Bombyx mori: one gene and its partner. The main gene of each other region encodes a partner of the protein of the gene in region 2 in a complex. Links are inferred from orthologs where the notes say so. Each region holds a gene or a part of one and is shown on either strand. Other genes may lie near its edges.

Region 1 (7,583 bases), on a different chromosome or scaffold from region 2:
GGTTCATAAATCTGACAAAGTGTCTTAGAGAGTACCTTTAAAGATAGAAATAAAATAGATAATGAAACATTGACGTGGTTCGCATTAACTTATTCAGAGCTTTTTTAGTGAATTTTAAATCTACAATATGTAAGTAGGTAGATACAAATAAGCAGCATTCATTGTGTCTGCGTTTAAATGAAACATATCACTTGACAATGTATTGACAATGGATTATATAAGTATAAAAAAATATAAAACGCTAATAATACATCCATGCAAGTTTTTTTCTTCTAAACTTTATAATTTGTGGCGGCTCGGAAAAGCTTAATCAATACCGTGGTCTACACCGCGATCTACCCAGTGCATATTGTGGGAACGCATAGCCCACTAAAATAAGTTTATGTACCTAATGATAATCTTGTATCTGGACCAATTTAAAAAAAATTCATGAAGCAGAATAGCAGTCTGTGTAATGTATATTAAACATATTTCTAAAAAGTTTGAATGAGAAAAGGACTGTTAGATTTAACAATGACAATTTAAAATTACCAACTACAATAATTCGAAATATTTCTGGAATACCTACTTAAATCGAGTCATCTTTATGAAAAAAATAATTGCACTTATGCTACAGTTCTATAAATATTACTAAGTACATTATTTACATGAAACGAGACGAATTTGTATGCGTGTGTGAATGGGACTCTACGTTTCTATATTTATTAGATTTAAACATAATAACTATCGTTTGTACTTGAAATATTTATATTTACTATTTACATGCATTTTTCACGTAGATAGATAAAATAAATTTTCATTAGTAACGTCTGCAATGCACAGCGTGTGCATAAAGTTAAGACAAGTTTAAAACATAGTTAGCAATTGACCTGTACATCTGTGATCCTTTCCTGCTAGTAAGTTTAAGCATAAACATTAAACATAGTTCAAAAATTTGCTGTAATTAATAGATACAAATCGATATCAAAAATTTGATACCATCTTGACTTGGCTAGCTGCCGGTTGACGTCCAATTTATTCTATGAGACTGTTCTTCGTATTGATTATTGATATTGTTGTTATGATGCATTGATGTTAAAATTAACGAAGTGATAGAAAATAATACAAATTTATTAGGTGTAAAACACGAGTGAATATTGATAATTTTGTACGATTCATACGTAACGTATTAAGATAGGTACAGTAACAGAATGCTGAACTTTTACTCATAAGCCATTTACTACTTAAATAATAATTAATTTTTAGACTATTATGTGTAACATCATACGTTATTTCTACAAAGTTTGTTAAACTTTACAGTGCCCTATTGTAATAATAATTCTTGTACACCATTTAACAGGGCTAAGTGCCTACTTCAGTTATTGGTTGTGCTATTTCTAATGCCTCGTACACTTACTATATGTATATTTATATTTTTAATGTACCTACTTGTTAGAAAATATGATGGTCTTAAATCGTAAAAATTCTACTACGATCATTGTCGTTGAACTATTTCATATTTATACTTTTTTACAAATTTGAAATTTAATTATAGTGTACTTTAATTAAACCTCTCCTCTTTACTCTTCTTCGATCCTTTCATAATGTAAATACAAATACAGTAAGGACATGGATATAGTAGCGACGTCGTTTCTTTTATTCCTATTTTTCCCCGGGTTTATATCTGTCAACTACTATGTCTATGCATGCAATACGTTTGAGTAACTGCGGCCTATCTAAGGTCAACCTACTTTAAGAATGGTAAACCTTGAACATCAGTTAGACAGTTAGGAAAATAAACTGCTACTAACTGAAACTACTACTACTAGAAATGTCAAATTAGGAAGTACGTCACGGTATTTTTTACTTGATGCCGAGATCCTGTCCGTTTGATAGTCGTAAATTGCAGTTAAACTTTCTTAAATATTAATATAAAACATAATTTATCAGTTAAATAGATCAACGAGAATATGTACTAAATATGTTCATATGTATGTGTACATAGGCATTCATTTATTCTATCTACAAGTCCTTTAATACAATTACAATATGCATAATTAATACAATGGCATTTCTTGACATTTCAATATAATTTTACTCTATTCTTAGTTGTGCTTTTGTTAAAGTTATACATTTTCTTTGTAAATATTTCTTGAGAATAATATCATTGATGCTTATGCATCCATTAAATTTGTGTGTTTATTTTTCATCCCTTGAATTTAATAAAAAACGTACTTTTCTAGAATATTTGAAGTCATCGTAGCTTAAAGGATAAGACTTCCGGTGCATTCGTGTTGAGCGATGCACCGATGGTCGAATCCCGCAGGCGGGTACCAATTTTTCTAATAAAATACGTACTTAACAAATGTTCACGATTGATTTCCATGGTGAAGGAAAAACATCGTGTAATAAAAATCAAACCCGCAAAATTATAATTTGCATAGTTATTGGTGGTAGGACCCCTTGTGAGTCCGCAATAGTAGGTTAGTACCACCACCCTGCCTATTTCTGCCGTGAAGCAGTAATGCGTTTCGAATTGATGGGTGGGACAGCCGTTGTAATTTTACTGAAACCTTAGAACTCATATCTCAAGGTGGATGGTGTCATTTACGGTGTAGATGTCTATGGGCTCCGGTAACCATTTATCACCAGGTGGGCTGTGAGCTTGTCCACCCATATAAATAATAAAAAAAAATCGAGTGTTTGTAGGTTTTGACAGTAAGGCCACAATCCTCACCCACACTTACTTAATTACTTTTTAAATTGACACATACCAAAACCATGTAACAAACTTTTAAAACTTAATTTCCCCACGCTACATAGAAAACCCACTACTGCCTTCAACACCCACAACCCACAACTCCAGGAGCCAACCAGTACTTGGAAGACTTCATACAGTTTCTTAGGGAAATAAAATCATATATTTTCTTGTGGGACGCCTATACATATTTTATATACATAATGAAGCAAAATGAGATGAAGTTAATTAATTTGAGACTGTAATCAATTCGGATGAAATTAAATGAGATGAGATGAGATAGAATAAAGTCTCAATAAAATGGTAGTTATTTAATATGAGATCAGAAACTGGAACAACCCGAGAAGCCACATTCAACACAAAACGAGGTTAATAAACTACCTTTATTACACGTTTAAATCTGAAGAAACCCTAAAATTAGGAAACAAAACCAACAAAACAAAAATTCATACAATTTCGCTCTTCGTGTTCGCGCCAAAGAGTCTGAGATTTTAATATTTTTTTTATTTGGCTGTATGGGCTTTGAACTCTTTGTCCATCCAGAAAGAAAAACGAAAAAAACGTCATAAGTAGTGTCACTGTTTCAGTGCTTTAAATTGTTTAAAACAACAAAAAAAATTAAATACAAAACCTAAAAATTCAAGTAAAATGTATGTGAATAGTTGAAAACGCACACAGTCAAGTATAAATGTTGATTTCCCGTCATTCCACTAGAGTTTAATCATGTCTGATAACAACAACATGAACTTAGACAAAAATCTTGAGGATTTCGAAATCCAAGAGGTTCTCCGTAATGGTACAGATTTGCGAGAATATGCTCTTCAAATCGACAAAGGAATCATCGAAGCTGAAAAAGCATCTGTTGCGGATTATTTGAGAGAAAGTGAGAATATTGGCTCCCTTCATAATCAAATCGAAGAATGTGACAATATTTTAGGGAAAATGGAGAGTATGCTACTGGTGTTTCAGGTAAATTTATCTCTATTTACCGCATAAAACAGATTTACAACACTATTATAGTTTTCAGCCCTTTGGTACCCACTGCTGGGCATAGGCCTCTCCTTTCACACAATAAAGATAGAAAAATACATCTCCTTGGAAAATAAAATAAATACAAAGCATGTTAGGGAATGCTAGGAAATAAAATATTTATAATAATGTGACTATAGAATACCTATTACCTTTATAGAAAAAAGTCTCAAATAAATGTTAATTTTTTAGTTTTTAGTGCTTGTTTAAAAGGCTTAGGAGTTCGACAGACAGAGAAACTATTATCAATAAGATCTAGTGAACTGAAATACCTCTGACAGTTAACTGAGAACTTTAATTTTAATTTCTAATTGAGTTGAGAGAGTTTGAGTTAATCTTGATACTATATCATACCTAAAGATTTCAGTACTGTGGAATTCCCTGGAATGTAAACATGAACTACAAACAGGTCCTACTTGCCAATAAACTGAAAATTTTGATGTTGAGAATAGCTCTATTGAAAAATGTTGTGCCTATTGTATTCTTTAATGATAACTTTTCTTGTAACAGAATGATTTAGGAAGCATCAGCAATGAAATTATAAGTTTACAAAAGCGTTCAGTGAATATGTCAGTACAGTTATCTAATAGACAAGTGCTTAAGGGACCTTTATCTGCATTCATAGAAGACATGGCAGTGTCGGAAACTGTTATATTGTAAGTGATTGCCTGGATTCATTTATCCACTTTTATGGATTTTAATTGTACTCTATTATATTTACTATTACATTCCAGTGGTATCAACAATGTTCCAGTTACCGACAAAGAATTCATGGTGCAGTTGGCAATTTTAAACCAAAAATTAAATTTTGTAAAGGAACAAGATTTCAAAGAAACTAAAGCTTGTCATGATGTCAAAGACGTTTTGGAAAAATTAAAGATAAAAGCAGTGTCAAAGATAAGAACATATATTTTAGAACAAATATATAAATTCAGAAAACCAATGGCAAATTATCAAATACCACAAAATGCCATGCTGAAATACAAATTTTTCTTTGAATTTGTATTGACCAATGAACGAAATGTGGCTCAAGAAATTTGCAATGAATATATTGATACATTGAGCAAAGTTTATTATTCATACTTCAAGTCATATGCATCAAGACTAGATAAATTGAAATATGAAGAAGCACCCAACAAAGATGACTTAATGGGAATTGAGGATGGATCTAAAGGAGGATTCTTCCAGAAATCTAATTTAAAAAATAAAAGTACAATATTCACTATAGGGAATAGAGGTGATGTTCTGGCCCAACAACTAGAAGCACCCATTATTGTACCACATGTTCAGCAAAAAACAAAGGTACAAAATACAATATTACAAATTTCATTTGGTTTCTCGTTTATAGAATCAAGTGATTAAAATCTTTTCATTCCTAAATAAAATATGAAATTAACAACTTTAAAATATTTATTGCTTGCTGTATGCATATCATTTTTTTAATGACACTATATTCATGTTTTGATCCACTTCTTGATAATAAATAAATTATTTTCAGTATTCATATGAAGCCTTATTTAGAAGTCTTCAATATGCCTTGGTAGACAATGGTTGCAGAGAATATCTGTTTACCACTGAATTCTTCCATGTCAAAGGAAACCATGCACAAGAGCTCTTTGATAGAATCCTCGGTAAAACATTGTCCGTGCTTGTAGTGAGTAAACCATTAAAATTATGTACATAAATATTTATTTCTGGAAATTGAATAGTCTGAATTGAATTGAATCATCTTAATTTTTTATTTTACAGAAAAATGTGGAAAACTATGTAGTTGAATGTTATGATTGTTTGGCACTATTTCTTTGTATCCAATTAATAAACAGATATAAGTTAATGTGCCATAAAAGAGCAGTTGCGGCTCTGGACAGGTGAGAATTCATATTAAGAAATGTATCGACACTGACAAACCTTCATTTAGAAGGGTAAGAGCTAATATGGCAAAGAGTAAATAAATATAGGGTTAATCAGCCCTGAGGCGACACTTGTATGTCATGTTCGACCCACCATAAACCCACTCAGTCCTCAAGTCTCATCTTGACTTTAGTGTTTGGTTGAAACTTACTTCTGCTTAACATAACAGTTCTATGTTTGAGTTTGTAGTTTTCCTTATCTTAAACCCAATGCTGATGAGGCCCGTCTCTCCGAATTACATAAGCCATAGAATACTATATACATTGTGAATACCAGACAAGAACTGGCTTTTGATATTGAATGCATATCAATATACTAGTTTTTGCCCGCGACTCCGTCCGCGTGGAATAGTTACTTTGGAATAACGCTAAATTTTACTCCCCACTTCATTTATGTAGAAAGTAACAATATTTTGGAATTGTAGAATGTTAAGAAGCTATTGAAACCCTTATTTTGAAACATTTTTTATTGGTGCTCCACTTGTATTGATCTTACCGTGATGTTATATAACCTTCCTTGATAAATGGGCTATCTAACACTGAAAGAATTTTTTTAATCCAACTGGTAGTTTCTGAGATTAGCGCGTTCAAACAAACAAACTCTTCAGCTTTATAATATTAGTATACAAGTAGATTGTGCCAGTGCTGTTCATTTTGAGGGCTGTAACCATGAGATGATGAAACTGAGAAATCACTCATCATAACTGAATGCATATATTTTTAATATCTATGCTGCCCATTGAAGAGTTCCTTATTCAGAAACCAACCCTCAGCGCAGCAACACCATGTAACGATAAAATCTAAAATACACACATAATAAATGCGTACAACAAAATCTCATATCTATGCTGTGTACCTTTGAAGAGTTGCTTTACCTAAAGCTCATTTTTATGGTCATTGCTTACCATAAAAATACTCTCATCACTGAAATTGAACCAAGAAGTAAAAGTTCAACTCCGTATGATAAGTAGAGGTTTAATTTGCTACATTTGACCCAAACACGCAGATAAATGTATATACAGTAAAAGGTCCTTATTCACAGAATATATGTTTTGTAAGTTTTTTTTCCTACCTATGCTGATAGCCTTGAGAGGCTATTTCAGCTTCTCCTTGACGTGTAGGTGAGCTCACGGGGCTCAAACCGGGAGTGTTGCTAACACTGGCCCTAACAAGAGCAGTACTTCGCACAATTTACCACCGGATCGGAAATGCGACTCACTGAGAAGTTCCGGCGAGAAACTCAGTGGGCTATGTCTATGGGTTAATTTACTTCGTCGAGCCTTTCGTCGCGAGGACTGGTGCTTGAGGTACCTAAAAGCACCGCTAATGTATCCGGAGGATCCGTAATGAAGTGTGTTTAGGGCGACGTCGACTGTTTACCATCCGGTCCACTGGATCGGGTATTTCCGTAAATATGCTGCGAATACAGAAACCTTGAATAAGGAAAAGTACGTTTACAAAGGATATATATCACGCACACCGTGACACGAGAATTTTATAATATATTAGATCTTATATAGAATCTTGAATAATCAAAAAATTTAACAAAGCCCTGAAAAACATCTTAACTATTTACAAGGACTTGTTCCTAAAGTTTTCATTGATCAAATAAATTAATTATTAAATAAATAGTCTATTAAATAAAAACTATGAAACAGAATGATATGCTGTAAATCTCAACACCACAATTTTTATGTCAGTTTAAACGCTAAACTAATTAATATTCGTACGTATGTTGTTGCAGTTACTGGGAATCATTATACAACACTTTGTGGCCTCGGCTACAATATGTATTAAAACTGAACATTCAAAGCGTACGGGACTGCGACCCTTCTAAACTGTCAAACAAGGAAATGGGACCGCATTATGTAAATATTTACAATTTAAATTTCATTAGTATAAATTAT
Region 2 (7,583 bases):
ATAGCCGGATGCGGAATTAGTTATAAGCCGTTGCTCGGAGTGCTCTGCACGCATTTGAACGGGAAAAATAATTTAAGCAAGTAAAATAAAGAAAACCACAATTCTACACACCGCAAATGAAGTTTCACTTCTTTCATATGCACCAAGTTGCACGCGTACCGTTTTTTTTTTGCTTATCAGACTGAACTCTTTTTCATTGTATTATATTGTGTTATAAATAACTCGATCGATTTTGTTATTATTTATTTATTCTTTATTACTATAGTTAGATTCATAAGCCAGGAATCTGACTCAAATAAAAAATCTAAATGTTTGTTTGGATTCCAAATTTACCCTTTTTATACTTAAGTAGAAAGTAACATAATAAGCTACCTTAAATACTTTTCACATAGATCAAGGAAAATTAAACAATACCTATCCTAAATTATTTCCTAGCAATAATCATGGTTACCTGACAAACACCAGTATTACATGTATTTACTCAGCGCCTAAGTTACATTCAAAGCTCCCTGAATAGAGTTTAAATAAGACCTAGAATTAGATTCAATTAGTAAGTATCTGAAGACAGCGTCGGAACGTTACTTCGAAAAAACGGCGCGGAAATATGAAACAAAACCGCTGGACTTGGTGATAAAGCGTGTTGTGAACACGCACGGGTAGGTACTACCACCCTGCCTATGTCTTCCTTGAAGCAGTAATGCGTTTCAGTTTGAAGGGTGGGGCAGCCGAGACTTCGAACTAATGTCTCAAAGTGAGTGACGGCATTTTCGTCGATGGTTTCTAGGTGCTCCAGTAACGACTTAATACCAAGTGGGTTGTGAGCTCGTCCACCAATTTAACAATAATAAAAAAAACAAAATAAAAAACTTCACTTCTTTTGAAGAGTAATTAAACTTTCTGTAAATTACCACTATTTTAATCAAGAGTTATTTCATTTCATCTCATACAATACCTAAAGTTCACTTAGTTCATCTCGTTTTCCTTTGTCACCTTCTCATTTCATTCCGAAATCTCATTTCAAAAGAAATCTTTTATTGGACACCATTCAAAGTAAAGGCTAAATAAAGTCTTTCGATTTTTTTTCCTAAGAGGCTCAAACCTGACTATGTTGCTAACACGAACCCTAGCAAGAGCCGTGCTTTGCAGAATCTACCACCGATTCGGAAACGCGACCCAGTGAGAAGATCCGGCGAGAAACTCAGTGGGCTGTGTCTGTGGGTTAATTTACTCGTCGAGCCCTTCGTCGCAAATGACGGGATCGACGAGAACGATGGCCGGTGCTTGAGGTACCTAAAAGGACCGTTAGTGGATCGGGAGGATCCGAAATGACGTGTTTCGTTGACTGCTTTCCATTCTGTCCGCAGGATCGGGAATGTAGTTACCAGCGGCCACGATGAGAGGGTTGTCGTGTTGTGCCGCTTTGTCGAAGTGGCGCATCGATGTCGACTGTAGATACTTACTGATGGACTCTAAGTCCAAGTCGTCATGGAGGTCGATGTTCCTGACGAACCATGGGGTTCCGACGGCTATGCTGCAAAAACGGGATTGAATAATTTGGAGTGATTTTAAGTTAGTGCGGGCCGCGTGAGCGAACACTACACTTGCATAGGTCACGACGGGGCGTATGCAAGTTTTGTAGAGTGTCACCTTATTTATAAGGAACAATTTACTTCGCCTGCAAATCATCGGGTAGAGGCGTCCTAGTATGAAGGTGGCACGGTCGAATACCGTCTTTAAGTGGGGGCGGACTGTCATCCATCTGTCGAGGGTGACGCCTAAGTATTTGACCTTCGGGGCCCACGGTATGAGTTAGTCGTACATTTTTTTATGATTGAGAGATTACTGGTAGCCCGGAGGCCTTTCCAGTTTCACCAGGGGGGCGAGCAAAGGCTCAGCCAGGAGGGGTGGGATTTGCTAACAGCTGCCCAAGCGCCTCCAAAGGAGACCTAACAACTCTAGGGCAGCAGCTTCGCGAATGAATCTACTACCGGATCGGAACCGTGACCCGCTGAGAAGATCCGGCGAGAAAGACAGCGGGCTGATGCATGGGTTAGGTTGCCCGTCGACCTCCTTGTCGAGTTCGACGAGTGCGGTTACCGGGGTCCCTAAGCCTGCTCCTAGTGTTAGAGCTGAAGGCGTCTAATGCAAAGGTTATTGGATCTGATGGATCCGCAAGGACGTGTCTAGGGCGTCGACGGTGACTAGATCCTGCATGATCAGGATTCGGTAATGGTCGTACATCATGATTGGCCGAATGGCAGAGGCGGAGGTGTTGACGCGTCTGGTCGGGAGCGGGATGCTCAATGTGGTATTCGGAGGGCGACCCCTTCTGAAGAGCACCACTGTGCTTTTCGTGGGGTTGATGTCGATGCTCCACTTCCGGAACCACTGTCCCAAGGTGGTAGCTGCTGTCTGTAGTCGCCGATGCAATAACGACTTCTTCCTACACAAGTAGTAGATAGCCGTGTCATCGGCGAAGAGCGCCAAATGGGTCTCCGGAGACCGGGGTACATCATTGATATACAAATTGAACAATAACGGAAGAGGGCGGAGCCTTGCGGGACTCCGGCTGTTACGTGACGGGGGCGAGAGCGCGTTCCCTCGACTCGATATCGGAACGGTCATTCGATGGTTAAGGTTTTTGACAATTAACAAAAATGTTGCAATATGCTTCCTTTCCGCTTAAAGTGATATTTTCCAGGTAGCCTTCCAAATGCGGTTCCCTTTCACTTTTGATGTTAGGCTTCAAATGTTCCTTTTAGAGATTTTAAACGTATGGGCTATATTTTCTTTGCCTCCAAAAACAAAAAACGGGACAACAATTCAAATGTCAATGTCACTTTAACATTTATCAAACGAGATGTCATGTCATCAGTTTTTAAAAAAAATGTAGCTATTTTTTTGCCTAAGTTCAAGTTTTCTTAGAGTCAATATTCGAAATTCATAAAGAAAAGTGTACTTATACATACAGAAATCAATCTATACTAAAAATGTTATGGAGGAAAATTCATCATCAAGCACGAATCCAGCATGGCAAAACTGTTCACACTGCCCCAGCCTTGTTTTCAGCACAGCAGCAGAATTTGAAAGGTTTAAAATTAAGACTTATTTTATAAATTAAGTGATCTTCATCTTATTCAATTAAGCGACGTCGGCACCTATAGCTATGCTCTATGATTTGGTATTTAGTTAATGACTCGGCGCTCGCTGAACGTAAAAGCAAATACATTAAGTATATATGGCTAATACAGATGAATGATATGGATGTTCACAAAAGTTGCTGTTTGAAATGGCTAGCGATATACCCTTCTATAGATATTCCTAAATGTTTTGTAAGCCCAATACTTATATGCTAATATTTATTTTACAGACATATACTAGATAAGCACTCCATAAAAGAGGGAACCATAATCCTTTGTCAATATGGACAAAATGGGATGTGCTCTGCATTACAATTTGGAGATTTACGGAAAGCTGGTTTTAAGTACCACATCCGAGAATATCATACATATACCAGGACACCTAATGAGTCTTGGACATTCTATTCTTCTTCACAAAATCTCCCTGCAGTACTGAATGATCCGAATAGAGGTAAGCAGAGCAATTTCTTCACGAAAACATGGGGTGACAGCTTTGTGGATAAAATTGATATACTTCCTAGTCCTTATTTACCAGATGTAACATTGACACATTTTGAATCTTATTGTAAAAAAATTGCTAAGAGGTACCGAAGACATTTAAGACTAAAAGAAAATTTGCCAGTTAAAAATAAAACTGCAATCATAGAAAATGATTGTGAAATACCAGATATATTCTATGAACCAGGTTTGCCATTAAATGATCCAGTGGTTTTCAGTAAAGTTTTTCCAAACCTTTGTAGTTCTGTAGATAATGATGTAGCTATAAGATCTCTGCAAGAAACATTGAGCACTTATCTGGATGTAATAGAAATGAATATTTCAAAGCAAGTAGCACAAAGATCAGATGCATTTTTTCATGCTATGCTTTCACATGATACAATAATGGAACAGATGGCAAAAGCTGTCAATACTGTTCAGAAAACAAGAAAACATATTAACCAAGTTAAAAAGAATCTGACTGAATGTCCATTGAAATTAAAAAGCTTAACTAGGATAAATTGTAATCTTGGTCATGTTCATGAAATTCTTAAGCTAATGTCAACAGTACAACAGACTCAACCTATGATTCAGCTATTACTCAGTACATCGGACTATGTTGCTGCATTGGATTTAATAGGCTCTACACAAAAAGTATTGTCAACTCGACTTACAGGCATACAGGCATTTAGACACTTATCTCCACAATTAACTGAAATGAAAAGGTTAATTCATAAAATGTTAAGTAATGAATTCCTAAAATTCATTGTATGTGACTTAAATAGACCACTAATAGATGAAAGTGACATTCCTGAAAAAGATAAAATTATATCAATTGTTTCTGGCATTCTTCGTCTCAAAGAATTTGATTTTCTAGACACATTTAAAATGGAAGCTATGACATCTATTCAAGCTACAATAAAACAATCAGTAATTGAAATTATTTCACAGCGAGATGGTTGTTTTGAAATTGTTTTAAGAGGATCAAATGCAGATAACATGTGGCTATTGTGCAACGAAGGCATTTTATTTTTGCAAAAAGTGACTCCAAACTTAGTTATGTTATTTAAAAGAATACTATCATTAACAAATTTGATTATAGATGTAAGTCAAATGGAAGATGTTAATGGGAGTGATAATGAAGAGATTTGGTCAGCTGAAGAATTGACATCTATTGAAGACAAATTGAAAAAAATGATTGTTTCATTGTCAGATTACTGCAATGAAAGATGTGCTAACCTAATTGTAACTAAAACAGACAAAGATTATGTGTGTTCTGATATGTCACAGTTATCTCTCCTATCAAATTTGATTAAAGAATTTTGCACCAAATGTGAGGATGTAACCGGATATTGTAGTAATGCCATGAATTTGGCTCTAAGGAGCTTTGCTATGAAGTATATACAGACACTTCACACTGAACGCAGATCTCAATTAACAGCTTCTCTAAATGCTGAACGATGGAAAACTGCAGATGTTCCATATGAATTGCAAAGTGCAATCACAAAAATATGTGAAATTCAAGAAATACCTCCTAATTTACTGTATGAAAGTGGGAAACCAGACGGAAAATATCTTTTTATAAACAAAGAAAGCTATGCTCTGGTAGGGACAGTTCAACTACTTATAAAAATTTTATTGGAATACTGTGATGCAACCAGACAATCTCCCATTATAGTTCAGTATTTAGTTCATTGTATGTTAGAATTATTAAGATTGTTTAATTCTCGGTGCTGCCAACTTGTTCTCGGTGCAGGGGCAATACAAAGTGCTGGACTTAAAACTATTTCTACATCCAATTTAGCTCTAGTATCTCGATCTTTACAGGTTATATTATGGTTTTTACCTATGATAAAACAGCTGTTAGAGAAAATACATTCTTCTGAGGTATCATTGAGCGGTTTTGTTGCTATTGAGAGTGATATTGCTAGCCATAAACAGGAAATAGAAAATAAGATTTGCTTAATTGTAAGTAATATGTTATGTTCTCAATTAACAGGGTGGGATGCAAAGCCCCCAGTTCCTTCTCAAACATTCCGCAATATTTCAAAACATTTAGTGAAGTTACATGAAGCATTAATTGATATTTTGCCACCTGAACAAATAAAGTTTATATACAAACGAGTACATGATAATTTTAAAGATAAATTAAGAGAACAACTAATTAAAATGAATATAGTTGCTAATGGAAGCCCCCAACATGGTGTAGTGACTTCTGAATTGACATTTTACTTACAAACTCTAAAGACACTCAGAGTTATAAACGATAATGATGCAGAAGACAATATACTATATGACGTTTGGTTAAATTAACTTTTCCAATATTTTATGTAAAGAAAACTATCTATTTATAAATATTACATTAAGTCATCACTTCTACTTAAAATACTTTATGATGATGAAATATTGTTCTCAAATGCAATTGTAGAAACAAACCAAAAAGGTATTTTTATTTCAGAACTAGTTAGCAAAATAAATAAAAATTATCGGTTTTGAAAAAATCGATGATTAAGCTATTGTCATTTTTTATTAGAATCTTTAGAGGCGATCATATTATGTACTATAGATAACCAATCTGAACATGGAGATGCGATTGATAGGTATTTAATCTAAAGTTTAAATTATTAATCTAACATGTATTTATTTCAAGTGTTTTAAGTTTTAATATAAATATTTATTTTAATTCAGATGTGTTTTTTCGAGTATATTTAAACAAAAAAAGGATAAAATAGCTGACAATCCTAAACGAATCCAAGTAAAGATTTTCTGAGATTTTTGCTTTCAACACACGACGGCTATTGGTATAGCTTAACTATGGAGGGTAGAGGTAAGGAATACCATCTTGTACAGGAAACAGGTTTAAAAAGTGCCCACCTGTAAACATCAAAATTATTGTTGGTAGACTGACCGAAATAGTGCTAGTATGGAACAAGGGCGGATCCACCTTTGGCGCCAGGAGGGGGTCACATAGTCGTGGGCAAGTTAAGAACTTATAATTTAATTTTGGTAACAATAGATAATAAATAAATCATGACGTTCTTCAATTAGTCCAAGTTAGTTCAAGTCCTGGAACTAGCTCAGGGGGGGGGTCATGACCCCCATGACCGCCCCCCCCTGGATCCGCCGTTGGTGTGGAAATTGGAAATTATATGATTGAAGTAGTGTGGTAGTTTATGGCGCTACTTAAATTTGCTCCCTTACAGCGGACACTTTTGAATAGGTACATTGAGATGGTGTCCTTTCCAGAGAGTTTTAAATCAATGGCCCTTTCTACTATGGAGAGTAAGCATAACGATCTTTTTTTATATCCCATATATTTCGTTTATCAATCTTTTTGCCCTTAGTTCCTTTTCAACCTGTCTACAAAAGCGTTCCGATAGAGCGATAATTTATAGGGTACCCACCTAAGTGTGTCTAAATTAACATATATGCCAAATTTCTTTTTCAAATACGTTTTAGCGAAAAACTTTAACACAACCAACAACCGCATCAAACTTTAGGATTTTTAATATTAATCGGATTCTATATAAACTTTGTTCAATTTAAGGAAAAGGATAAACTGAAACTGCGAATTGTAGGTACATCAAACGTTATCGAACTTTTAGTTTCTGCAATTGTTACTAGGGAAGTAAACGATAACAAAAATTTGGAAAAAAATACTGTTCCTTCGGTTTACAAAGAAATTGTCAATGCTGTGATTGAAGTCGGATCTTCGGTTTTAAACAAATGATTACCGAGATCAATCAAATCTCGGATGTATAATAAAAATAAAATATCAATTAAAAAAATATAAAGTTTTTAACTGAATGCTATCAGTCAATAGCAAAAACCATACTACAGTACCATATAGAACTATTAGGATAAAATTTGAAAGCATGGTGGCATATCCCAACAGTTCTATAGAACTATATACAGGTATGGAGTACTACTGGGATGCACCTAACAAGCTCATGGCTCGTCAAAGTT

The links. Proteins that work in one complex are often made in the same cells at the same time.
Region 1: vacuolar protein sorting-associated protein 54 (region 2) and vacuolar protein sorting-associated protein 52 homolog share a complex: the UniProt entries of both Homo sapiens proteins name them as parts of the golgi-associated retrograde protein (GARP) complex. The link is inferred for Bombyx mori from reciprocal best matches to the Homo sapiens genes VPS54 and VPS52.

Annotation. Positions count from the first base shown.
Region 1 is NC_085110.1:11,267,222-11,274,804, forward strand, and holds the start of vacuolar protein sorting-associated protein 52 homolog, read left to right. Parts: upstream 1-3,283; 5' UTR 3,284-3,460; coding exon 3,461-3,706; intron 3,707-4,276; coding exon 4,277-4,422; intron 4,423-4,500; coding exon 4,501-5,068; intron 5,069-5,264; coding exon 5,265-5,420; intron 5,421-5,515; coding exon 5,516-5,634; intron 5,635-7,420; coding exon 7,421-7,544; intron 7,545-7,583. UniProt on the Homo sapiens protein: Acts as a component of the GARP complex that is involved in retrograde transport from early and late endosomes to the trans-Golgi network (TGN).
Region 2 is NC_085118.1:10,580,390-10,587,972, reverse strand, and holds vacuolar protein sorting-associated protein 54, read left to right. Parts: upstream 1-2,836; 5' UTR 2,837-2,995; coding exon 2,996-3,090; intron 3,091-3,370; coding exon 3,371-5,930; 3' UTR 5,931-6,300; downstream 6,301-7,583. UniProt on the Homo sapiens protein: Acts as a component of the GARP complex that is involved in retrograde transport from early and late endosomes to the trans-Golgi network (TGN).